4 linked regions of the Schizosaccharomyces pombe genome follow. The gene in region 1 interacts genetically with each later gene. Each region holds a gene or a part of one and is shown on either strand. Other genes may lie near its edges.

What was found.
Region 2: mutations in bcs1 (region 1) and ppk8 together harm fitness less than expected from each alone (positive genetic interaction), as found in Schizosaccharomyces pombe (one large-scale study listed by BioGRID).
Region 3: mutations in bcs1 (region 1) and SPOM_SPBP8B7.31 together harm fitness less than expected from each alone (positive genetic interaction), as found in Schizosaccharomyces pombe (one large-scale study listed by BioGRID).
Region 4: mutations in bcs1 (region 1) and ekc1 together harm fitness less than expected from each alone (positive genetic interaction), as found in Schizosaccharomyces pombe (one large-scale study listed by BioGRID).

The regions. Positions count from the first base shown.
Region 1 is NC_003424.3:2,683,511-2,689,434, forward strand, and holds bcs1 (iron-sulfur protein assembly ATPase), read left to right. Parts: upstream 1-2,553; 5' UTR 2,554-2,895; coding exon 2,896-4,245; 3' UTR 4,246-4,311; downstream 4,312-5,924. Other genes in the region: utr4 (methionine salvage haloacid dehalogenase-like hydrolase), read left to right, coding at 4,685-4,753, 4,807-5,388.
Region 2 is NC_003424.3:747,151-753,361, forward strand, and holds ppk8 (serine/threonine protein kinase Ppk8), read left to right. Parts: upstream 1-2,331; 5' UTR 2,332-2,779; coding exon 2,780-2,845; intron 2,846-2,962; coding exon 2,963-4,438; 3' UTR 4,439-4,522; coding exon of another isoform or gene 4,523-4,650; 3' UTR 4,651-4,689; downstream 4,690-6,211. Other genes in the region: ime4 (mRNA (2'-O-methyladenosine-N(6)-)-methyltransferase), read right to left, coding at 1-1,252; nucleoporin Nup45, read right to left, coding at 4,523-4,650, 4,690-4,981, 5,038-5,146, 5,193-5,279, 5,323-5,929, 6,006-6,060.
Region 3 is NC_003423.3:3,696,010-3,701,128, reverse strand, and holds SPOM_SPBP8B7.31 (acid phosphatase), read right to left. Parts: upstream 2,939-5,119; 5' UTR 2,797-2,938; coding exon 2,715-2,796; exon of another isoform or gene 2,657-2,714; coding exon 2,405-2,656; intron 2,336-2,404; exon of another isoform or gene 2,330-2,335; coding exon 2,210-2,329; exon of another isoform or gene 2,157-2,209; coding exon 2,092-2,156; 3' UTR 1,783-2,091; downstream 1-1,782. Other genes in the region: G1 cyclin Puc1, read left to right, coding at 477-1,556; DNA-binding transcription factor Thi5, read left to right, coding at 3,435-5,119.
Region 4 is NC_003421.2:1,625,381-1,632,635, forward strand, and holds ekc1 (protein phosphatase regulatory subunit Ekc1), read right to left. Parts: upstream 3,995-7,255; 5' UTR 3,741-3,994; coding exon 1,239-3,740; intron 1,182-1,238; coding exon 1,167-1,181; 3' UTR 607-1,166; downstream 1-606. Other genes in the region: tRNA dihydrouridine synthase Dus4, read left to right, coding at 1-302; wtf element Wtf14, read left to right, coding at 5,058-5,187, 5,259-5,483, 5,533-5,784, 5,825-5,887, 5,951-5,970. UniProt on the Schizosaccharomyces pombe protein: Has a role in chromosome segregation. May provide a dynamic connection between kinetochore microtubules and kinetochore chromatin.

The sequences.
Region 1 (5,924 bases):
TACGTGTACGCCACAAACAATTGAGAAACAAACAGAAATTGTTTACACAGTTTCGCTGTTTTCAAAATATAACCACGGGTAAGTAATACAGTTGGCATACAACATTTGGGTAACCTACCATAATTATCAATTGAGCGCAAGAATGGCTTGGATACTGACTCAACCCCAGTCTACTGAATCGACGATGTTTGGAAAATCGAATGAAACCAGCAAAACCGATCCTTCACCTTTAACTATCGGTAATCCAAGTTTGATTATCGAGCAAAGATGTGGTTGGTGCTTGGACAGATGGATCTACTTGATTGCTTGATATTTTTCGGTGTCAGTTCGTTACGCTAAAATGACTAAGAAAAATGAACACAGCCTCGATAAACAAATATCATCAGTGCGATCCAACAGCGGTATTTGTCTGAGTTTCTGGTTTACATTCCGAGCCACATGAAAGATAGGCGTTACAGGGCTCGGGAATGCAGCCGAAGCCGTTCAAAGTTGTCAATAAAGAACGTTTGGTAGAAGTGTCCAACAGCAACGAAGTGTTGATGACTTGTTGCCAATGATGAATTTCTTCACTATTGAGTTGGACTTTGGAATGTGAGTGGTCGTACCAACAACTACGGGTATATGGCCTTATTGCAGTGTAAGATTATCTCATTGTCATACAAAGTGGGCAACTTCATACGCAAGGCGTGGGTTTCATGAACACACAAAACGAATCGAGATGATCATCGTTGGATACTCGCTTGATGCAGCTGCTAACGGAGATGCACAAAGCAATCGAACTTTACCATGACATATCCGAAACATGCTAAGATCTTGTTGATGCATTCGTTGACGTTTTTTCAAGATGTTTCGTAATTTCTATACCCCCGGGTGGAGTGGAGCTGCACTTACGAAAGGATAAGTTGAAGGCTGATTTTTCACATCCCTTCTTTGCAAAAGTTTCCAAAGATGAAAAGTGGAGATGCTATTACGCTAGCACAATATTCATCATCATCTGATCTGTTGTATAAAACTTTTTCATTTCATAACTTATGAAGTCAATAATAGTTTTTGAAAATGGGATTTCCTAATTTAGTCAATTTTGTGTTCCACGTTGCACGATGGTTAAAAACGGTAATTTACACTACTGCAACATAAGAAGGACTTGTAAGATATAGACATTAAAAAATAACCTCCCAAGGCGAGACTCGAACTCGCAACCTTCTGATGACCATCATAAGAGTCAGACGCTCTAAACCGATTGAGCCACTCGGGACTTGCTTGTATTGTGTTAAATTATGTACAATTATATAATAAAGTCTTTAAACAATGAAAGGCATTGAAGGTGTTCAGCTTGAATGAATTCTTTTTAGTATGTTCATTGATCTCGAAAGAAAAAAGAAATGAAATGAAAAACTCAAGGTTTGTAAGTATAACTTTTTTGGTTTTGAAAACGCTTGAATATGATGTTGAACATTGATAGCAGGGTAACCAGTATATGTAAATATAAATGCATCTTGAAAAACCTGTATAAGAAGTGCAAGTGGGTTAAAATACATTGATTTGAGTATATAAAGAATTTCTTAATGTTTTGGCAAATTCGAAGACTTTTCCTTTCTTAGCTTTTAACAATGACTATTTCTTTCCTCCCAAGTTCTTTGTTGATGTTTCTTTGTTCGCCAAGAGAATTTTCTTTGTCAAAATCTTTGATCTTTTAAAGAAAGTGTGCATATACATAATCACCAACTCAGTTCAAAATACAATTTGAATTTCATACTAAAGTATGCCCAATGATTTTAAAAGTCATTAGTTTTTTTCCAAAGTACGATCTCTTACGAATACCTGTAAGAAAATTAATATTATACATCAGCCTCGATTTAATTATGTTTTGGATGCAGCTTTAGTTTTTAATTATATTCATCAAGTGCAAAATTGCAAATCACTAACATACTTGCAAGCGTTTTTTCTGCCATGAAGAATCGGGATGTATATGTTCTACATCAATTACTTATCTTAGTGTGAAATGCAAATTTATATGCAGTTATTTTGTTCTGAATATTTATTATATGCTACCATCATCAATGTGATCAAGTCATTAAAAAATTTATTTACAGGCTCTAACATTTGTATCATTTCTAAAGTCCAGATCAAGCGACCTCGGAAGAAATTTTTTCTTAATTACTCAATTGCTGTCACTGGATAGGTTTGATATGATACTTTACTTTTGATCTTAGATTTCCAGACTCGCAACAATTTCTAAAAAATTGGGTAGTAAACACACACATGTAGGCTGGAAATATTAAACACTAGCAAGATGCATCCTTCCAACATTTTACATAAAATATTTCAATGTCAAAAGTTAAATATTTTGCAAAGTTACTCTCTCTATTTCAAGCAGAACCTTTCAAGCTGGTATTAAAAGTTTAAAACAAACATTAACAATGTGAAAAACAGTTTCATGTAATTAGCTTTATACTATTCTTTAGTTCTAACATATCTATTTCGCTCCTATCGGAAGTCATAGACTTTTGGAATTTCTTAGCAAAGCACTAAATTGTTGGCTACATGAACCTCACCCAGAACCTCGTTCATACCAAAAACTCCTCCATTTTTTCTCAACATTCCAATAAAATTGGATTATATAATTTCTTCATTGAACATTTTATTTCTTTTTTGTTTGAAACCTATCAATTACTGGTCATTTTGACATATGCGTTTTGACATTTGATTTACTACAATATTTTGTTATACATGTCCTCCGTAAAGAATTGATTATATTCATAAAGGTTTAATTGTTTCTATGAATTATTTATACCAAAAATTTCCTTTATATGCAAGAAACCGCTATCGTTACGTTGAAGAATTAAATTAATATTAACTTTCCTCCCTTCTTCTCATCGTCTTTCCACTTTAAAAATGGATAATATAGGTGCTGCCGATGCAGCGACGTCTTCTGGCATTTCTGGGTTACTAAGTGGAAATTCATTTTTAGGTGCTGGTATTGGTTTAATGGGTTTCGGTGCTGGGCTAGCCATATTACGTCGTGGGCTTATTTCAGGAGCAAGCTTAGTAAAAAGAAGGATGCTAGTGTCTGTCGAAATTCCAAGCAAAGAAAAAAGTTATAATGCCTTTTTGCATTGGATGAGCACGGTGCCTAAACGCTATTCAAATCAGCTGGCTGTTGAAAGCAACAGACAACTCAAAATGCCGCAAAATGCTAGGGAAAAACCTGACAAGCAAGTTGCAAATCGTATATTCAGCCTCGTTCCAGGTCCTGGAAAGCATTACATAAAGTACAAAAAGTGTTGGATTCAAGTAGAACGAGAGCGTAGCAATCGTCTGCAAGATTTAACAACTGGAACACCTTGGGAGACAATTACTCTTACCACTCTTTCAAGAGATCGTGGAATTTTTTCCGAACTTTTATTAGAAGCTCAAAAATTCATGCAAAGTGCTCAAAAAAACAAGACTACTATATACACGGCTTGGGCCACTGAATGGAAGCCTTTCGGGCACCCTAGATCAAAAAGGATGCTTTCTAGTGTTGTACTTGAAAGCAATGTTAAAAAAATGATTACAGACGACGTTCATGACTTTTTACGAAATTCACAATGGTATGATACAAGAGGAATTCCATATAGAAGAGGCTATCTTCTTTATGGACCTCCTGGAAGTGGAAAAACCTCATTTTTATATGCTCTTGCAGGTGAATTGGACTACGACATATGCGTTCTAAACTTGGCTGAAAAAGGCTTAACTGACGATCGTCTCAACCATCTACTTTCTAATGTACCTCCCAAGGCAGTAGTTTTACTGGAGGATGTTGATTCTGCATTTCAAGGTAGGGAACGATCTGGGGAAGTTGGGTTTCATGCCAATGTTACATTTAGTGGGTTGTTAAATGCACTCGACGGTGTCACTTCATCAGACGAAAGGATTATATTTATGACAACTAATCATCCTGAAAAGCTTGATCCAGCTCTCGTTCGTCCGGGCCGCGTTGACGTTAAAGCATATCTTGGAAATGCTACACCTGAACAAGTTCGCGAAATGTTTACTCGCTTTTACGGTCACTCCCCAGAGATGGCTGACGATTTAAGTGATATAGTGTGTCCAAAAAATACAAGTATGGCTTCATTGCAGGGTCTTTTTGTAATGAATAAGAGCTCACCTGCTGATGCTGTTGATATGGCTAAAGAGCTTCCTGATAATCCTCCTAGTACACCTTTCTCCTTTAACGTACACAGAAAGTCTTTGTCTGTATGAAATCCCTTAGATTTATTTAACTTAAAATGTTATTCGTTTCGTAATAAGCTCTACTTATCAATCTTGACCACAAAAAAAAGACATCTTGGTAGAAACATATATTGTACGCGATTAATCTATGAATAATTAATGAATTTAAAAAATGGTTAAAAAATAACTAGTCCGTATTTTCTATTCTAAAAGACAGGCATGCATAAGATAATTATTCAAATGCATGTTCTCAATAAAAAGCTGCAAGCTGTTGAAATTCTTTTTCCATATGTTTAAGAAAGTAAAATCCAATAAAATTCCAATTGTAATCTTAAATTATTTTACGTGATGCATAGCTGAATTCGCAAAGTACTAATCCTACTTACTGCACATCTTACTTCTTTAAAGTTGCATAAAACTTGTGTCCTAAAAGAAAAGTGAGTTGTACGGCATCTCTTTATTACAAAAAATGGTTAAAAATTTGCTCTTGGATATTGAAGGGACTGTGGGTAGCATTTCATTTGTCAAAGACAAATTGGTAAGTGAAGTTTTTTATTGAGAACAATGTAGATCGTGTTTAACCCATGCTAGTTTCCATACGCTGCTTCAAGATACGAAAGTTATGTTAATGAAAATTATGAAAGTGATGAAAACTTGCGAGAACTTGGAAAAACGCCTGAAGAGGCCTTGATAAATTTACGAAAGTTGCATGCTGAAGGAAGCAAAGAACGTTCCTTCAAAATGGTCCAAGGTCGTATTTGGAAAAAAGGTTATGAAAGTAATGAACTAACTTCACACTTGTTCCCCGATGTTGTTCCTGCTATTCAACGTAGTTTGCAATTGGGAATGCGTGTTTACATTTACTCCAGTGGGAGTGTTCCAGCTCAGAAATTGTATTTCGAGCATTCAGATGCTGGAAACCTTCTAAAGTATTTCTCTGGATATTACGATACTACTATAGGGCTTAAAACTGAGTGTGGCAGTTATGTGAAAATTGTGGGAAACTCAAATCCTAGAGAATGGCTCTTCTTGAGTGACAATATCAACGAGTTGAAAGCTGCAAGAAAAGTCGGGTTGCACACCGGTTTGGTGGTTCGTCCTGGCAATGATCCTGTTGTAGACACCAGTGGATTCCCCGTGTACAATAGTTTTGAAATTTTGTTCACGGAATAAAGCAATGGTGAACCCTAACGACCGTTTCGCTTAGAACAAAGTAATGAGTTTCTTTAAAGGACATGAGTTCTTTAAAAGAATTTTGATTCTCTTGTGCTCTCATTTTCTATTTCTTTGTGTTTTTTTTTTCATGATTTCTTTGAATACATCCGAAAATTAGTCAACGCAATTTCTTCTCTTAAAATATATTGAATTATTATAATTTTTTTAACCCAATGGATTTTTGAATTGTTTCAGAAACCTTTTTTAACTATGAAACTTTTTTACCATGATTGAATATTTGTATCAATTATCTAAACATTGAGTAAAACACTCTTGTAAACTCTCCATTCGTTCAATCAACTATTTGAACTGAATTTTTTTTTTTTTTTTGATAAAATAGAAAAAGAGCGTTCTTGTTTAATATTTTCCTCTCCTGTGTACTCATTGTAAAGAAGAGAGGTTTGTCAATCAACATGGGTTACAATTCGTCGGTTTTGTAGCCAAATTAACATTAATCCTTTATTAGTGATTTCTTTTTAAATGTTTCTTAGCCA
Region 2 (6,211 bases), 1.9 Mb from region 1:
CTGATGACCAGTATAATTCATGCATAAACAACAAAGGTTCCCTCCCCCATGTAATCCAATTAGGTGTGAGACTACGGCCAAAAATTTCTAAAACAGGAAGCGATTCATTTGCCGAACAATTAAACCAACGTGAAATGAAAGGTTTTAATGATGGTTTCCTGGAATGATAATCTGGAATACCAATTATTGTAAACGTTGGAGGGATTTTATCACTATATACAGATGTATATTCTGAAGTAACTCCAATCAAAAGCTGTTCCCAAGGTTTGCGCATGTTTGAATAAACATCAAATAATGGTTCGCCAAATGCCGTTATTTTAAGCCATGTCCATGTAGAGACAAGCGTTAAATTCCATTTTTTAAAAAGCACTTTTTTAACAAAATTTACATACTTTTCCTTATTTGTGCACCAAACTGCCACGACGCCGGTTTTGCTTAACGATTCCTGAATTGGTAATGCTTTTAAATATCCAAGGTTCCTGTTCACCTTATAGACAGAGCTCCTAGCTACAGATTTATTCGGCCATGGAGGGTCTATAATTATGCATTTGGGTTTTTCTAGATGGCCATCAATTGCTTCTAAAAGGATTTGCGCAGTTTTCTCCACGTCACCCATAATAAAAGAGGAACGAGCAGGGATGTAGTAAATTGAATCCCTACAATTAGTTTCAGACGATTCAGTAATAACCTTTGATCCCTTCAGCTTTAATTTTATAGCGGACGCTCCATCATTTTGGACACATTGTTGATAAATCTCTTCCAATCCAAGTTCAACTGTATCTTTAGACTTTATAGTTATAAATGAATATGACGGTGGAATAGTATTCAACATTTTCAACCATTGCAAGCACTGATCCTCAAACTGTATAACCGGTGCTTTAACTAGTACTTTGAAAATGTCTGAGTACCATTGCACTAAAGGAGCATTTTCAGCTTGAAAATGGATTTCTGATGCACTAGTATTTGACCTGTATACGATATCTTGAAATTGAACATGGTGTGATTTATCGGTTGATTGATTGTCATCCAAACTGCGCAACTGTAAAGCACGACGAACTCGCTGAAGGCTTTGCAGTACTTGCCCTACAGTGCCTTTGCCACTGTTTTCATAATCCGAAGTTGATTTTTCGGGGAGTAAATATGGCTTCACGACAGGCTTCGTTCGAGTGGGCAAAATATGTTTATTAAATTGCAGAGATGTTGGCAAGTCAATGAGACAACTAGTGTCGTCCATGTATAATATACATGGCATTAAAAATTACACGAATACCGAACCTCAAACAATCGTGATAAATGAAATGCACAAGGACACCGCTGAATTTCGTTATAGCAATCTATTAAATTAGTAGCTCAAAAAATAGCTTATGTGCGCTCAACTCAAAATAAGAAGTAGCGAGTTGAGTTAATTAAATTCAGTCGGATAAGAATAATTGAAAATACCGCTCTCGACGCGTGACAAACGTGTATACTTTATCGAAAGTTACTCGATAGGTTTCGTCGTACCCATCAACTGGAGTGCAGTTAAACTTATTATGCTTAATACCAAATATTGAAACAACAAATCTCTATTGATATTTTAAAAACTTCCATTTAATGATATTTTTTAAAACTAATTTACGAAAACCGAATCTAGTTAACGTAGTTCTTTCAAACTAATACGGAAACATTGGTGTGCGATTTTCGATACTCCCCACAATAACATTGAACGATATAAAAAATCCAAGCTATTAAGAAGTACAAATTTTTCTATTGAACGAATTAGGTAATCAAAGCATTCATAGCTTGCAAAAACCAATGTTTTGTGGTTAGTCAGCCTTCAAAATGGTAACAAATTTATATGCTGCCAGTACGAAATATTAATTACATAAGGAAAACGATATGCTTAGTCTTACAAATACACACCTACCTTATCTCGCCTTAACGTCTCCACTATCAAGTAAGCAATTGCTGGTGATGACTAAATATATTTAATAACAAGCATCATAAAGATCGTTAGGATAGGAATCTGCAAAAATCGGAGCGTAAATAAATAAGCAGTTAATGGCGTAATGTTTTCACAAAATGATAACCACACTATTATAAAGCCATTACTTTTTTGACGAGATAGCATCATACAATTTATTGATAGGATTCAAGCAAAGGACCTGCAATCAGTATATAAATACGCTTCGTTTTTATGTTCAATTCGATCTTAAATTTTAGTTTGCCGATTCTATAGAACATTTTGGCATTGGAGTTTATGAATTTTTAAAAAAAACAACGCAGTCCGGCATTCTACGGTATTTGCTTTCGACGTTAATATATATCGAAACGTGGAACCATATTTTATTCACATTAATTTCCTCATCGAACCAACTCCGGTTTATCTCCTCGGACATTTATTAGATGAACCTATTCGGCTCGTGAGATTTGCTATATAAACATTACTAAATTGGGAATTGTCGTTACCAATTTTTTTTGCGATCAGGATCGACATTGGGATGCATAATCGTTTCGCTTCGTTTTAGTTAAACATTTTTTTATTTTGCTTGTATTGCATAGACATTGCGCGATTACAATTTTTTTGGTTGTTTACTTATTTGCGGTGTTTATTTTATTTCTTGTCAGTCATTATCAGGGAAGCGGTATTTGTTTGATTTTCTTTCCCGTCATTATAATCGGTTTCACTTAATTTCTGGATTCGTTTTATTTATTCTCCTTAATTATCACTTAATTCATTAATATATCTTTTTTACTTTTTTTTTGGAAAGAAGCTTTTACAATCACAATTCTTAGAGCAATGGCTGTGATCACGGAAGAGAACTCTAATAATTTATTTTGCACAGATTCATTGGAATTAACCTCGGTATGTTTTCTGCCTTTAATTTTTTTAGTTATCTTTTTTTCTTTAAAAAAAAGAATAGAAAAAAATCCTTATTTTTCTAAATATTCAAATATGGTGTACGCTAACTAATGATATTAGAATAAACAGGATGATCAAGTTATTTCGAATTACTTAAAGCCCGTCCGTTCATACCCCTACATTAAATATTCTCGAAGTAGCTTATTATTAACGGCATCTACAACTTTACCCGAAAACTTTGTGATTTCATTTACCAACTCCATTGAGAGTGAAGAGAGCGATAAATCTGATTACCTTCTCGATCATGCTCATAGCTTACAGGAATTATCGACTACTCACTCATCACTATCAAGCACTTTAACATCTATGTCGGAAGAGTCATCTTCCACAGAATCGAAATTTGCTACCCTTAATGATGGCATAAATGGTGGTAATCCATATAGCAGACTTTATCGAAAAAATCCATCTTCTGATCCAAACGATATCCCACCTCAGTTTCACTTTAAAAAGAAGTCTAAATCATTTTATAGTAGCATGTATGATAAGATGAAGATCAGAATTAATATCCTTCCGAACGGAAACGACAATTTTATAAAAAAACGGAACTCCGGCTTCGCTCTGGCGCCTATTGCTTGCTACAATCATACTTCTGATCTTCGAAAATTGCTGAAACACAAAGTAACTGGTAGCAATGCTAGCATCTTTAAGAGAATCAACCCGAGATCAAGAAAGAGAGTTGTAAACCCGGAATGTTCCGTAACTGATACACCTTATGGAAAGTTAAATAATGTCATTGGGGAGGGAGCGAGCTCTTTCATTCGGGTCATTAATGATCGAAACAAATTGCCAATTTACGTTGCCAAAGTATTTCGTCCTCCATTAGATACCTCATTACTGCGCAGGTATGTACGTTATTTCATTGCAGAGTACACTTTTGCGTCGACACTCAGGCATCCCAATATCATCAAGGTATTAGACATTATATACAAAAGGCATACTATTTTACAAATAATTGAGTATGTTCCTTATGATCTTTTTACCTTTATTACCAAAGGTCATTGCTCTGCTTTAAAAGCTGATCAAATGTTTTTTCAATTGTTAGATGGCGTGGCTTATATGCATTCCCTTGGCATTGCTCATCGTGATATAAAATTAGATAATATTATGCTCGATGAAAATTTAAATGTTAAGATTATTGATTTTGGTACTGCTTTTGTTTTTCATTATCCATTTGAATCAACCACTCTGATGTCTGATGGTGTAGTCGGTTCAAAACCATATGTTGCTCCCGAAGTTCTTACTCAGAAACCATATGATCCGAGCGCTGTAGATGTTTGGTCTTGTGCAATTGTTTACTGTTGTATTGCTTTAAAGAGATTTCCATGGAAAGTGCCGCATACATCGGATAAACGTTTTAATTTATACGTTACTCAACGAAATGACCCTAACACGAAAAGCCAATTGATAGAATCTTTACCGATGAACTCAAGAGATACGATTTATCATATGCTGGACATTGATTTTAATACAAGATGTAGCATTTCGGGAGCACGAAGCACTACATGGATGCAACAAGTTCGGAAAACTCTAATCTAAGGAGAATTTGTCTACTTTAGAGATTTTTATCTATTTATTTTTTTTATGATGTTAAGGATTATGAAGTCCCTTTAATGATCGCTATTAACTTATAAAGGGCAAGGACGTTGAAGTGTTCACTTGTAGACGCTTTACTTCATCGTGAACTTGAGCAAATCTATTACTAAGAGCCATGAATAATTTGTGCTCCTCTTTGATAGTTTTCAGTAATGCTAGATAGTTAATACAAGTTTTACAAATTAAAGGCATACCCTCGGGACTATTATTCTGTGGCGTAGTCTCAACTTGCTCCAAATGTTGTTCAAGTTCACCAATAGTGGCAGCATACAGATCTGTACGTTTCTTAGCGTTTTCTGTAAATTGCTCAAAGTAGTTCATTAGGGGATCGTTTGACGCGAAGGGATAGGTTGCGCCAGGTGTTTTAAAAACGTCCAAAATACGTGAACTAATGCGAGCATTCGAAGTATCTTCGTCAACTACACGCTTCGTAGTTTCAATTTCGTCGGAATCAATTAAAAGTGCAGTCGAGACAGAAGATAAACGCTTTATTTTAGTTAGAAACAAATAAAACTTGGAGATAATAGAAGGAAATAACTCACTCTCTGTACTTCAGCGACATCATTAGGGACGGATTCAACCAATTCGGAAACAGTCCCCAACTTAGTTTGTAGTTCCTCTGCAAGTTGGATTTGGCTAAAAATTTCTTTGCTACGGACATGATTAGAACAAATTTTGTACATAAGGTAACACATACTCTAAGTCATCTAAAAATTTTTGAGTATTAGCGTTTAAGCTCGAGTATCTCGTCGTTGCATTAATAGCTGGATTAGAAGGGAGTTGCCTGTTTTTTTGTTAATGAAAAAAAAATTTAATAATTAACTTACGTTGTTGACGGTTGCTGCTGAGCTGCAGAAAAGAATGGAGTAGTTTGAGTATTATTGCTTAAACCAAAACCAGTTGAACCAGACGGTTGTGTGGATTGACCAAAAAGGCCAGCGGAAGCTGGTTGTGTAGAAAATTGACCAAAAGTCGAAGTATTAGGGCGGTTTTGATCAAATAGACCTCCTGTAGTTCCGATGTTAGACTGTCCGAAAAGAGAAGTATTTGCTTGAGCAGGCTGTGTTTGCGATTGTGTTTGATTTTGACCAGATAATCCAAATAATCCTCCAGTAGGGGCTGCTTGAGCAGGTTGTGCTTGTGTTTGATTCTGATTGAACAAACCACCAGGTGCTTGAGGTTTAGTAGTGGAAGCTCCAAACAGGCTGCCACCAGGTGCCGCTTGAGGGTTTTGTCCAAACAAATTTAGGCCGGGGGTAGTAGATGTAGCGTTTGGCTTATTTCCAAACAAGCTTCCACCAGTTTGAGGTTTTGTTTGACCAAAAGCTCCTCCTGTTACGCCTCCAAACCCAGTCGAAGCGGGCGTATTGGCCTGCGTATTGTTACCAAAAGTATTAGAAGAAAAAAGTCCTGTGCCTGCAGAAGTACCAGTATCTGAAAAGGTTAATATATGAATAAGCACAAAATTCGAAAAGTAAACTTGAAGACTTGTTCACCTAAAGAAACATACTTTGGTTTTGGGTTCCTGTGGACCCAAATGAGGGTGTTTTATTTAACCCGAACATTGCTTAAAGTATTAATACACGAATGTCCCTAGTGTAAATACCATGCAAAGATTATCATGAAAAACCACTCAGGTTATCTTTTCTAAAAAGGGTAATTGTAGAATCACAATCAATGATTAATATTATAATTAAGCAAAGATGGAAAAGATTA
Region 3 (5,119 bases), on another chromosome or scaffold:
GAAACATATATTTATCGCATCTAATTTCTTCCGCTTCATTTTGCATTCTTTTAATATTTATATAGCCTTTTTTCACTATATATTATTGGGTTCTTTCGTCTTGGCTTTTTACAAGTCCTTTGCAATTTACTCTTTCGATTCCTTTATATTACCCCTTCCATTATTGATATCTCTTTAGCGTCCTTGAAAACCCAGTAATTTTTCCCTTTTTTTTAATCGTCACCTCACTCTTTTTTTTTCTTCCTTTTTAAATCGTCCCTTAATTTTCCGCCGTTGTATCGCTTTCAGTTAGTTAAACACTATTCGCTTTGACCACTACCTCTTAACAAGCAATCTGAGCCTGTTTATGTCCAATTATTTTTTCTTCAGTATCATTTTTTTAATAATTCACTGAACTTTGAGCTGCAACTTCATCGACTGTGAAGAGCTTTTCTACTCTTTCCTTCTCATTATTTTCAAATACCTGTCTACCCAGTATGTTAGTTTCTTCCAATGAGGAACAACTTACTGCTCATACTCCCACTTCATCTTCAAGTATAGAACCTAAAATATTAGCTGCCTGTTCATATTCTCTATCAGTGGGCCCTTGCTCTTTAGCTGTTTCACCAAAAGGCGTTAATTCCAAATCTCCCTCTCTTAAAAATGAGACTGCATTTGTTGTCGACTCTGTTAGCACATTGTCAGCGGAATCTAGCGCCTTACTTTATAACACTCAATCCTCTTTACTCACTGGTTTATCAATGAACGGGTATTTAGGTGAGTACCAGGAAGACATTATCCATCATCTGATTACTAGAGAGAAAAATTTTTTGCTGAATGTCCATCTTTCTAATCAGCAACCGGAACTCAGATGGTCAATGCGACCTGCACTCGTTAATTTTATTGTAGAAATACATAATGGATTCGACTTGTCTATTGATACTCTTCCGCTTAGTATTTCCCTCATGGATTCATATGTCTCGAGGAGAGTGGTATACTGCAAACACATTCAGTTAGTAGCATGTGTTTGTCTTTGGATTGCCAGTAAATTTCATGAAACAGAAGACCGTGTTCCATTATTGCAAGAACTGAAGTTAGCTTGTAAAAACATCTATGCTGAGGATTTATTTATTCGTATGGAACGCCACATACTTGATACTCTTGATTGGGATATCTCAATCCCTACACCAGCTTCGTATATTCCTGTTTTAGACCCGATTTTTTTCTTAGTACTTGATGCATCAATGTTTGTACCTAATTTATTCAAATTTCCCGCTTCCAAAATCGCATGTTCAGTTATGAACATCGTAAACGAACATGTCGGATCGTTTCTTTTGACACACCCTTCTATGGAATCCTATCGCAAAGATGATAACTTTTTGTGGCCTGAAGACTTGGATACCGTAACATCATATATGGAAAACATGTCAAAGAGGTATGCTAATGAGGAATGTACTGATTTACTGTTTTCCTCACTAGGCCGTATTTCTAGTATTTTAGCAAAGAAATATCCGGAACAATGCGCAATGGCTGCCTGGTGCAACATGACTGAAAAGGATACTGAGCGTACTTTGTAACTTTAACATTGCTTCTTCTTCGATTTATATATATTGCAATGCTTCTAGACAAACATGTAATGGAGATATAATTTCAAAATTATATATTTACTTGAGAAAAGTAAGTGTATAGTGATGTAATTTTTTTTAAGAATTTTTATAAAATTCATTATATTAATCAATTAAACTACTCTGTTATGTTCTTTGTTTTCCTAAACCGGTTTGCAACTATGCTCATATGACATTATACCGTTTGTATATATTTTTGTTATTTATTTATATGATACTTACTTAGTTTGCAAAAAGAAAAGAGAAAGTTCATAAGAAACCCCATATTACAGATTGAAGCAATTTAGGTCTTTAATAGATTTAATTTCTAAATTTGATTCTTCACCCATTAAAAGTAGTATCAGTGTTTCCCAATTTTAACAATGATACTGTGATTAAACAAAATACATCTCAATTCGAATAGAGACTTCTAAATATAAGTTAAAGCACGATAGTTGTTTTCTTAAGATGCAAGCAAAATTGATTAACTTTTCTTTCAAAAGAAAAATTAACCATGCATATGATTTTTTAGAAATGAAAGAATATTTAGTGAGTTTTTTTTAATTTTCTCCACTTGTTTATACCTTGCTCAAAGGACGCACGATTAAGGCCATCAGGAACTAAACAGAATGTAACACCAAGTCTTTCAACCTCTCTGTTCCTAGACTCATCATCAAAAAACACCATTTCTCGATAGTCAATTCCAGATTCGTTGTGGATCTCTTTGAAGTGATCCATTTTACTACCTATTTCACAATAACTAGTTAGCAATATGATTATTGATATTTTCTGTATTGACAAAAATGTATTAAAAGACATACCTGGCCAAGCTTTTACATAAGTGAAAAATTCGATAGCCGGCTTAAGACTTCCATCTATTGGTACCTTCATCAAATTCAATGCTTGTTTCGCATACTTGGGAGCACAAGTACGGCTAGCAACGCACAAAGTAACTTTTTGGTTCCTTAGCTCTTGTAAAATTCCAGTTATATCTGAGTAAAAACAAATCTCTGTGCCATATTTGTCAATCAAAACGCCTGGGTCATTTTTGGAAGGCTTAAATGGTGCAGTGACTGTGAAACTTTGTTAGAAAATAAAACATAAAGTAGATCAAAGTAAAAGATTTAATACCATGGGTATCTATCCAAAGAGGCCACAGAGTGTAGTCTAAGTCAAAAACAACGCATTTTGGGAATTCGATATTTTTTACCATATTTGCTTGATATTTTATGGTATTGGTTATTAGGTTCGTAAACAACAAGAATGAAAGTCTTTTTAAGAGTGATTTCAAGTTCAAAAGATTGACCGTAACGCTTTCAAGAAGTTTACTGCCAGTTTGCTAGTTCGATAAGATTGACACAATTTTAGTTGGTACGTTGATGTAATCCAATTTTTTTTAAAGAAAAATATATATATTCAACTTTTTTTGCATTAGTAATGAAAAAAACTTAGGAAACAAATGTTTGAATTTCATTAACTTTTATGAATTATTATTATTTAATTTAACTGTCTTTGATATTCTCAATAAACAAATAAACTGATACCAAAAAACACTGTGTAAATACCATGTTTTATAAAATTGATCAAAACTGTATACTACCAAATTACAGTCAATTAATCGTTGTCATTAACATATTCATTTAAACAATAAATTTTTTTACTGCATTTAATACATTTATATTAACCTGGGGACTTGACAGAGCTTACTAGCAAATTTAATTTTGCTGATGCATACTATTTAAAATTGAAGTAGCATTGCTACTTACCACCTTCGGGTACCTGTGACCGACAGCGAAATTGATTTACCTATATGAAAATCTTAAATGTAGCAATTGTTATTATGCGAAGTTTATGTGTCCCTCTGACTTTTCTAGTCGTTCTTTGTTTTTAGAAGCCAAAGAGGAAGAGTATAAACAAAGAAGGCGTGTTCCTTTGGACAGTAGAAGAAGAGTAAGGCGGGCATGTCTGTCTTGTCGGGCCAAGAAAATTCGATGCAGTGGTTCTGAACCATGTCAGGCTTGCATTGCTACGCCTTCGCAATGTAAGTATGCTGATTCTTTAAAAGAGCGTACTCCCTCAAAACAATTTATTGCGGAACTGAGTCAAAGGCAGAAATGCTTCGAATATCTGATGGAATTGCTGTGTCCTTCTCTTCCTCATGACACACGTAGTTTAGTCAAACTATGCAAACATGTCGAATCTTCATTAGCTTCTGGAAGCGACGTTCGTTCTTTGCTAATACCCGGGTCAATTGATCAATCTGTTTTAAAGGTTGCTGCTACAAACAATAAAGACGATTCGTCTGCTGTCAAGTCAGCAAACGTTTCTTTTCCTTCTTCATCTACTCCCCCCTCTTCGGATTCAAATTTCTCATCTATTCAAAACACTGATCTTAATACTTCCATCAAGTTTACTGAAAATATATCTGCTAATGCAATTCATGTGAACCAAGATAAGGTTATTAGAAGTGCCAATAATTTAATAATCAATTCCCAACCCATACTTCCTGTACGTTCATTCTTAGATGCTCTAGGAGAACCCATATATTTAAGTCCGACGTCAAGCACTTATTTTTTAAATTCTGTTTTAGCATCCTTACAGTTAAATTCAAGCAATACCCCAGAATCACTGCTCATTGACTATCAAAGTAAAATTCCGGAGGATCTCTCTTCCTCTTTATTGCCTTTAGAACTAAACACACTTCAATCGACCCCTACTTCAGTATCTGTAGGTTCAGCTTCTTCACAAGGAACTCATGAATATTCAATTATAAATTTGACCTCCAATCACTCATCTTTTTCATTAAAAGCTCTAAAGAAAATAGCACATAATTTGTTACCACCGGTTTCTGTCGCAGAACGTTATGCAAATGAGTTTTTCCTCCGGTATCAAAGTTTTTTTTACTTTTATCCTCCATCTGTTTTTTCTAACCGTTACCAAATCCTTGCAGATGGTTTAGTTAACTCAGATACGTTGGATACAGGATTTCTTGCTGTTGCTCTTTTAATTGTTGTGCTTGGTCACTTCTCAAATAACAACATTAATGTATTGCCCAAGGAAGTTCAGCTTAGTCATATTGATTCAATGATACAGATTTCAGAGCAATTAATTAGCTCTTTATTAAATCGCTGTACCCTTTCTTCTATTCAAGCTGTCTTTTTACTTTCACTATATCATTTTTTAACTGGAAATTTTAAATGTGCATATTCTTATTTAGGTTTTGCAATACATTCCGCGCATACCCTTGGTTTGGAGCATGGTTCAACTGATAACAGCACATTAAATGAAGTTTCAACTGAGGAGACTAGTATTCGCATATGCTGGTCCTTACGTGTTTTAGCCAGTTTTTTGTACATACAGTCTGGAATTACTCCTATCATAAATTTATTTCCAAATGGTCTGAATTCTTTAAAACTTCCTACCGTTGTCCCGGAGCTGGAGGCTCGACATTTACCTTCATCCGTTTTTCATTTTGTCGCTATAATAAAATACGCTGAGATCTCCGTACGGTCTCTAAATTCACTGTATGAATCAAG
Region 4 (7,255 bases), on another chromosome or scaffold:
AAGGCATCATGTCTGCTCGTGGTTTGTTAGAAAACCCTGCGCTTTTCGCTGGATATGAAGAAACGCCTTGGGGCTGCGTGGAGCGATTTCTTTGGTATTCTACATCCTATTCTCTAAATTTCCATTTATTCTATCACCATTTGACTACCATGATGGGGCAAATGACTACTAAGCGTGAAAGAATGACTATACCGAAAGATAGTTTTGCTAGTGTCATGGACTGGCTAGATGAGCATTTCGTTGTTCGGAGACCCGATGAACCCATGTTTGGAGAATCGGTATTGCCTTGTCGCCGCTATTAATCTCAACTCATTGTTTGTTTATTAGTTGGCATTGTAAATATGAAGTGATTTCTGTAATCAATTTATGCAGGGATCAATCGATACAATTACTTCAATTTGCCAACGTTTTATAGTTATTGTTTTTTTTAGGTGTTTTAGAAGTCTATGGTTTATCATTGTATTTTATCTGTTGTTCTTTACCAGAATTAGAATCCCCCGACCTTGTTCATTACTACTTTACATTTTTAGTCATACTCATTTGTTACACTTTTCACAATTCCCTTCCGTCTTTATCTCTTGAATATTATGAATTCTATTACACAGTACAATCAACGCTATCTACATTACTTTATTAAGAGAAATTGTACTCTTGAAACAGCTTGCGAAACTGATATCTCGATAATTAAAAAATGCGTTTTTTCAACAACGGCATTTCCTTGTTTTATCAATTGTTTGTCTTATCTCCACCATGGCATAGCAGAATTGGTATCAGTAAAAAATATTGATCAATTCATATTTCTGTCAACTGTGTTATAAACCAGATAGCATAACGGACTTAAAATGAAATTGTAGAGATAGAAATAAAATAGAATGAAGAGAAAAACCGATTAAAACGAAGAAGTGAATGCATGACAAAATATTAGTACATTTTCTTTTTAACAGTACGAAGCTAAAATAAAATAGTAGAAACCACAAGGTAAAGATGAAGAAAATGCATCTTAGAGGTTGTTAAAACTTCACGTAGTAACGCATCCTTCAAACTATACTAAATAGTAGTTTCCAGCCTCTAATGCTGTTCAGCAAAGATTTTGAACTCGAACTTCTAGATATTAGTTACAGACGTCTAATCTGCTAAGATTAAAAAATTTAAGAGGAAAATGAGAACTATTTACCATGGTTCTATATGCTGTTAGTAAAATACATATCCATACAAGGATTAGCAAACTTATAACTTACGAGAACCAGACCATCAGAGTACTCCTCTTCTGCAAAACCGCGATCATCGTCAGAACTGTCATTACCATCTTCTTCTTCACTGTCTGAAAAGTCTTCTCGATCTGAACCGTTAATAAAAAAATTAGATCGCGGATACTTGTTTTCATTTCCGCGCGAAACCCATTCAACAACTTCATCGTCGTCATCGTCGTCCTCATCAGAACTACTAAATTGATTGGCGTTGTTATCGGATATTTGCTGAGACATGTACTGAGCAAAATGATCGCGATTGTCTTGATCACTATCGTTAGCTGATTCAAAACTAAGTCGTCGCGACATCTCACGAGACAGCGGGTCTTCATCATTACCATCATCTTCGTCATTAGAAGACGAATTATGCGATAGCTCACGATGAACTTCCACGACATCGTCATCACTGCTATTGCTTTCCAATTCTTGCTCCAGCGCAAACTGCATTTCAGGTAAATTGTTGGCGTCCAACATCTCTCCTTCGTCCATGTCTTCCAAATAGCCCACCATCGAGGGTTCCAAGCCTCCTAATAATTGATTATCACGGTTCCTCGTTTCTACTAACGTCTTATTTACAAAATTTTGCCATTTTTCGTCATTGATAAGATTTAGCAATTCCTGATCAAAGGTAGAAGAATAATGTTCTACAAACTTCACAACTTCGTCAGCAATTATGGTTAGATGACCCATATATCCAGCCCGAAATCCGCTAGGTTTAGCTACCTTTTTATCATTCAATTCTTGGCCGTACACAATCTTTTCAGTGATTTTCCCTTGTTTAAACATATCGACGGCAAGTGCATAGTTTTGATCTTTGTCCATAGGAGCATTTAACACCTGCTGAACAACATCATATACAACGTTATGTAAAAAATTGTTCCAAGGATAATCAAAGAAATGATCAAGAATAGTCGGAATTACATTATTTTGAATAAATTCAATCTTTAGAAAATCGCCAATAACAGGGAGCTTTTTAGCATCCTCAATAACACTTTCCGGAAGGGGTTCGTAAGAAGTATCAGAAGCCGCATCATCGTCCCCATGGTGTAGTGCTTTAGCGGTTTCCATAACGTCCTTGTATTCTTCTTCACTAACGGGTTCAGCCTCGGACATTGGGGAATCAGTAGTAGTCAAATTAAGGTTATCCTTAGTGATTTGCGGAGCACGACCGTGCATATCTTCAGCCCCGTTCATGTCTTCAGTTTCCTTAAAATCTTTAGAATTTTTATCGGAAAAAGTAGAATCATCATCGTCCTCGTCGCTCATGACAAGATCACGTGCACAGCTATTATGGCGGAAAAGATAATCACGAAGATGGTCACGCTGCATTACCATGGCTTCACCATTAGGATCGCTAAGAAGGGACATATTACTACAATGAAGCAACTCGGCGTAAAGTTCACAAATTCGGAAACGTTCAAAACCTAAAGGCTTGATCTTACCAAAACTGGTGGGCATGAGGTCGGACTCGGTGGAAGGTTTAAGGAGGATTTTTTGAAAGACAGGAATTTTTTCGGCGAAAAGACGCAACATGGTCCCAAGGTAAATAGGATCACGGGTAGTAGGAGGATGCGTGTCAAGAGGCATTTGCAAAACGGGTGTAACATCGTAGTCACTGTTGTTCTTACGAATTAGTTCTATTACGATGCTGACGCCATTAATAAGAGAAGTGGCAGAGTGAGGAGCTTTAGAATCGGTCATGTAATCAGTTAGTGTAGTTATTGTTTGTCTGGATACTAGTTCTCGTGAAAGGGAGTTAGGTCCAATAACTCCGGGTTCATTAGAATTGGCAGAAATAGCGATAATTGCTTTTATAACATCAGCAACAGTAAACTGGACGTCGGGATCCACATATGGGCTAAGTAGACGCAGTAAGGATTGTATTAATCCCTGCGAATACAACCAGTCAGCAATTCCAATAGCAGTATTGCAACGATCCATTGAAATGAATTTGAGCAACAGATCCATGATTGCGCTTGTTTCCGCATGACGGAGGATCTTTTCTACAAAGTTATCAATAGATTGGATAAAGGCAACCGTTTCTTCGGTTTTTTTATCCAGAAAATGTTCATTGACCTTTGCAAAGTATGATGCTTGCAATGGGTTTAATGGGCCCTCGCTATCCAAAAAGGACCAAAGTTTCACCATCAATGTCTTATTTTCCACACAAGCCTCACAGATGGACCAAACGTCGCTACTGAGGATTTCACTCGCTATGTAGGAAAGTCTGGTATGTTCCGGCTCTTCATAACCACCATCGGCAGAAGGTATCTCTGTTTCGTCAACCTCCAAAATATAATCAATCAGCTGGCTAAGTACTTCCGGCTTGCAAAGGTATTCTAAAAGTTTGGGGTTGTGGCTTTTACATTCGTCCAAAACCCCATTCTCTTCTAACAACTCCTTTAAATTAATCTCATCTTCCGGTTTATCCAAAATCGCCTCAATGGCGCTTGAGCTTTGAAATCCAAATCCCTGGCCCAATCTCCAAAACATTTCTATCACTTCCTTTAAAATGTATGTAAGTCAAAGCTATGTTTATACTTCCCAAGGCTTAAACGGCGAAGCTCTTAGGTAAAGGCTTCCCCTTTTGCGTTCTTGTTTTACGGCGGTACTCTTGAGCCGTGCCCTTCACTGTATAGATAATCAATGTCTGCGGTTTTAAATATGAGTATCAAAGAGTCTCAATTTTGAAGTTTTTCCTCTATTACTACTTCCAAAACAGACAGTTGCGGTTTTAAGCTGTTGGCGAAGGGCAGATAAGTGTGAATGGTGAATCCTACGTAGTTCGTTCTTCCATATGGAGAGGTGGGGGAAAGCCAATTGTCTCTTTACTGCGGCTTTAGGAAGCGATGTAAAAACATTGGCTATTCTAGTGTAATGCGCAATCAATTATACCGTGGAAATAGCGTGTTGCAATCAAATTTAGGGATATGGTAAACGGTGGTGGGGTTGCTTGATACATATTATATTTTGATACACAGGTAATATGGGTAACAGGTAATGCTGATATTCTTATACAAAGGGGACGTTTGGCAGCTAATCACTGAAAAAGCTCAATACTTAACTGTACTAACGAATTCCAGCTAGGCTCTATCTAGAGTATGTTTATTAATCTAAAACTTTCTTTTGGAAAAATCAGCAAATCTTTTTGTGCTATGTTGTATCATAAGATAGCGGATAGATAACAGAACATGTGATATATAACGATACGGAACGTACTGTATTATTCGATATACTGAAGTTGACATTACAGTAGTTCACCAGTTTTCTGTTAGCGAAATCTATAAGTATCACGTTGTAAATCGGTAGATATCCTTAGCAGATAATTTCACAAAAGAAAAATTTTAGCTTAAAAGTTTTAAAAGAGTATTTTATTTACGGTTATAAAAGCTCCTAAATAGGAGTTAACTTAACTCTCCTATACTGCAGAAGTCAATCCATGGCAAGGACTAATCTGTATCGATAATGCATTTACTGACGATCAATTGACTGTATTATTTTTCGCATTTCCAGATATAAGATTGCTTCAAAGTGTTCGTTATAGCATATAATGTAACTTAGGAATACTGCTAGTCTTCTTAAAATGCGGATGTTAGAAGTAATCTACCTCCTAAATCAGCTTTTTGGTTCCTATTTTTGAATATTCTTTGTTTTAAGCAATTGATTCGAAATTTTTCAATTTTGTAATTCTCTGCTTAGTATAACTTTGTAAGATCTGAAATTGCGATAATTTGAAAGGACCTTGCTTGTTTGTTTACGCAGTTATATCAACCGGCGCATTTTTTGATCAACCTCTTTTTATCGCTCATTATGGAAAACAATCATCATTTGGCTAAGGATTCTTTGGATGAATTGAATCCTAAACGTGGAAAAGGCGAGCACGAAACTCAGGTCTCACAATACACTGTGGTCGAGGAAGCCACTATACCTCAGTCTTTAGGTAAGAAAAATACCCTCGTTGGGAAGAAAAAGAACTTCATATTCAAAAAGATAGCAATTTTAACGTAAAAGTGAAAACTTCCAGACCTGCTGATCATAAAGTGATGGAAGCTTCTAAGGTTGCTGATACTCGTACGGCTTGGTCGACAAAAATTCCAGCAGTACTTCTTCCTGTTTTCGTAATAAATATTGCTTTGTTTAAATATCTCGTGTTTGCAAACTTTTCAACTAAAGATCGGGTGCTATTTGGATTGGGAAATGGTGGAATTAACATATTTTCGATGTGGCTTTTACTCGGTAAGTGGACTATGTGATTACTATCAGTATGCAGCTGCTAATTCTATAGCAACATATGAAACATGGTTCAGGAGTATCAAGGAAGTTATTGTCGCTTGCGGAGCAGGTATAAGATCTTTTCCCCAAAAACGGGGAGTAAATATGCTATATGCTATTCTCAAGTTGACTTTTGTTAATGCATTTGCCATTCCCCTCCTTATGTTTTTTAGAAGTCATTTTGAGCAATGGAGACTGGGATGCCCGTTGGTGGAGCGTGTCATTGGTGTTATGCTAAACGTGGCATATTTTATAATTGAAATTGGTTCGTTCTTCAAAATTCTGATAAATGCTAACTTTACAAGAAAATCCTGGTTTATTCACTAGAGTTTTTAATAAGTACTGTGATTGCTTATTTGCTATTAGGGGTATGCTGCTAAATTCATCAATCTCGATGTTCATTTTCCAATTCGTCTCACTTACCAAACTAGATATCCTAAATAGAAACTAATGAGTTTTGAACAAATGCAATGCTGAGAATGTTATCCGTTATTTTTTGGAAAAGGTTTAATATGCTACATGTGTATTCAAACGATTCTATATTGAAAGAAGCGTTTGTATTTCGATTACTATCTGCTAATAATCTTCCTCTTTAGAATTGTCAAATTTGATAAAACTAATGAGATCATAATAGCGTGAAGCACCCTTGCTTGCGTTATTTCTTTTTAAAAATTTGTCTTAATTGCCAGTCGACACCTTTAAAACATCTTTCGTTGAGTGTTGTAGTTTTTGGACTGTAAAGGAAGACCCTTTGCGGTGATTTAATGTTTTCAAACATTTGCTAAAGGGCTGTTAAAATGTTTACGATATTCAAATGTTTATTTAAAAGAAAGTTTTCTTATTTGTTCATCTATGGGGTTGGCTCCTCATTCGTATAATACGCTGAAAGCACATTAAAGTCTCTGGATATCAGCAGTTTCATATGATTAATTTTCAAAGATCCGGTTTATGATAATCATGAAAGCAACAGAATTCTTTGTTTGTTATGGGAATGTATTTGTTGATGATTACTTTTTTTTCCCTAGTCAAATAGTTCAATAACGGTTGATATACCAATTATTAGACCAACAGACGAAGCTGAAATTCAACAATGGTTAACTCATTCCATTTCGGACCGTATAAACTCCTTTATTAGCTACTAAATTAATTTTTAATTTTGGTCAGTCAATGTGAATAGGATATTTCTTTTTAACTCATTAAGCACACAATGATTTCTTGGTTGTTTACTGAATAGTGCAAAATAAAGTCGTACCTAAAAATATGTTAGAGTTTGCTAATTGATATAAAATGTAAGCTACGCAGTTTGGTATCTGATTTAAGGATACGTAGAGCTGCGGTGAGTTTTCCTTGTGGTCTATTATATTACAATACACAGGTTGTATAAGTAGCAACTGAGTATAGGTATTGTATTAACTGGATTATAATGTTACCTATCACTAATATAGCTCATAACTGAACCTCGTTCCTCAGTTCAGTTGTAACTCTATTTATAATATTTCTAAATAGTTGTTATCAACGGGTATCTATGTATATAGACGAATAGTTACCCGTGATTATCAATAAACGGATCTTAGCTAGTATTCCAACATATGACATATAGTGATACGCAACGTAGTGTATCATAGCGTAGTGTAGTATTGCTGACATAAAATTAATAATAGTATTTTCGTTGCACGTTATAAAAGGAGCAGTGACAAAATGGGTATGTAAGAGGAAATCGCATTTTAGAGATGGGT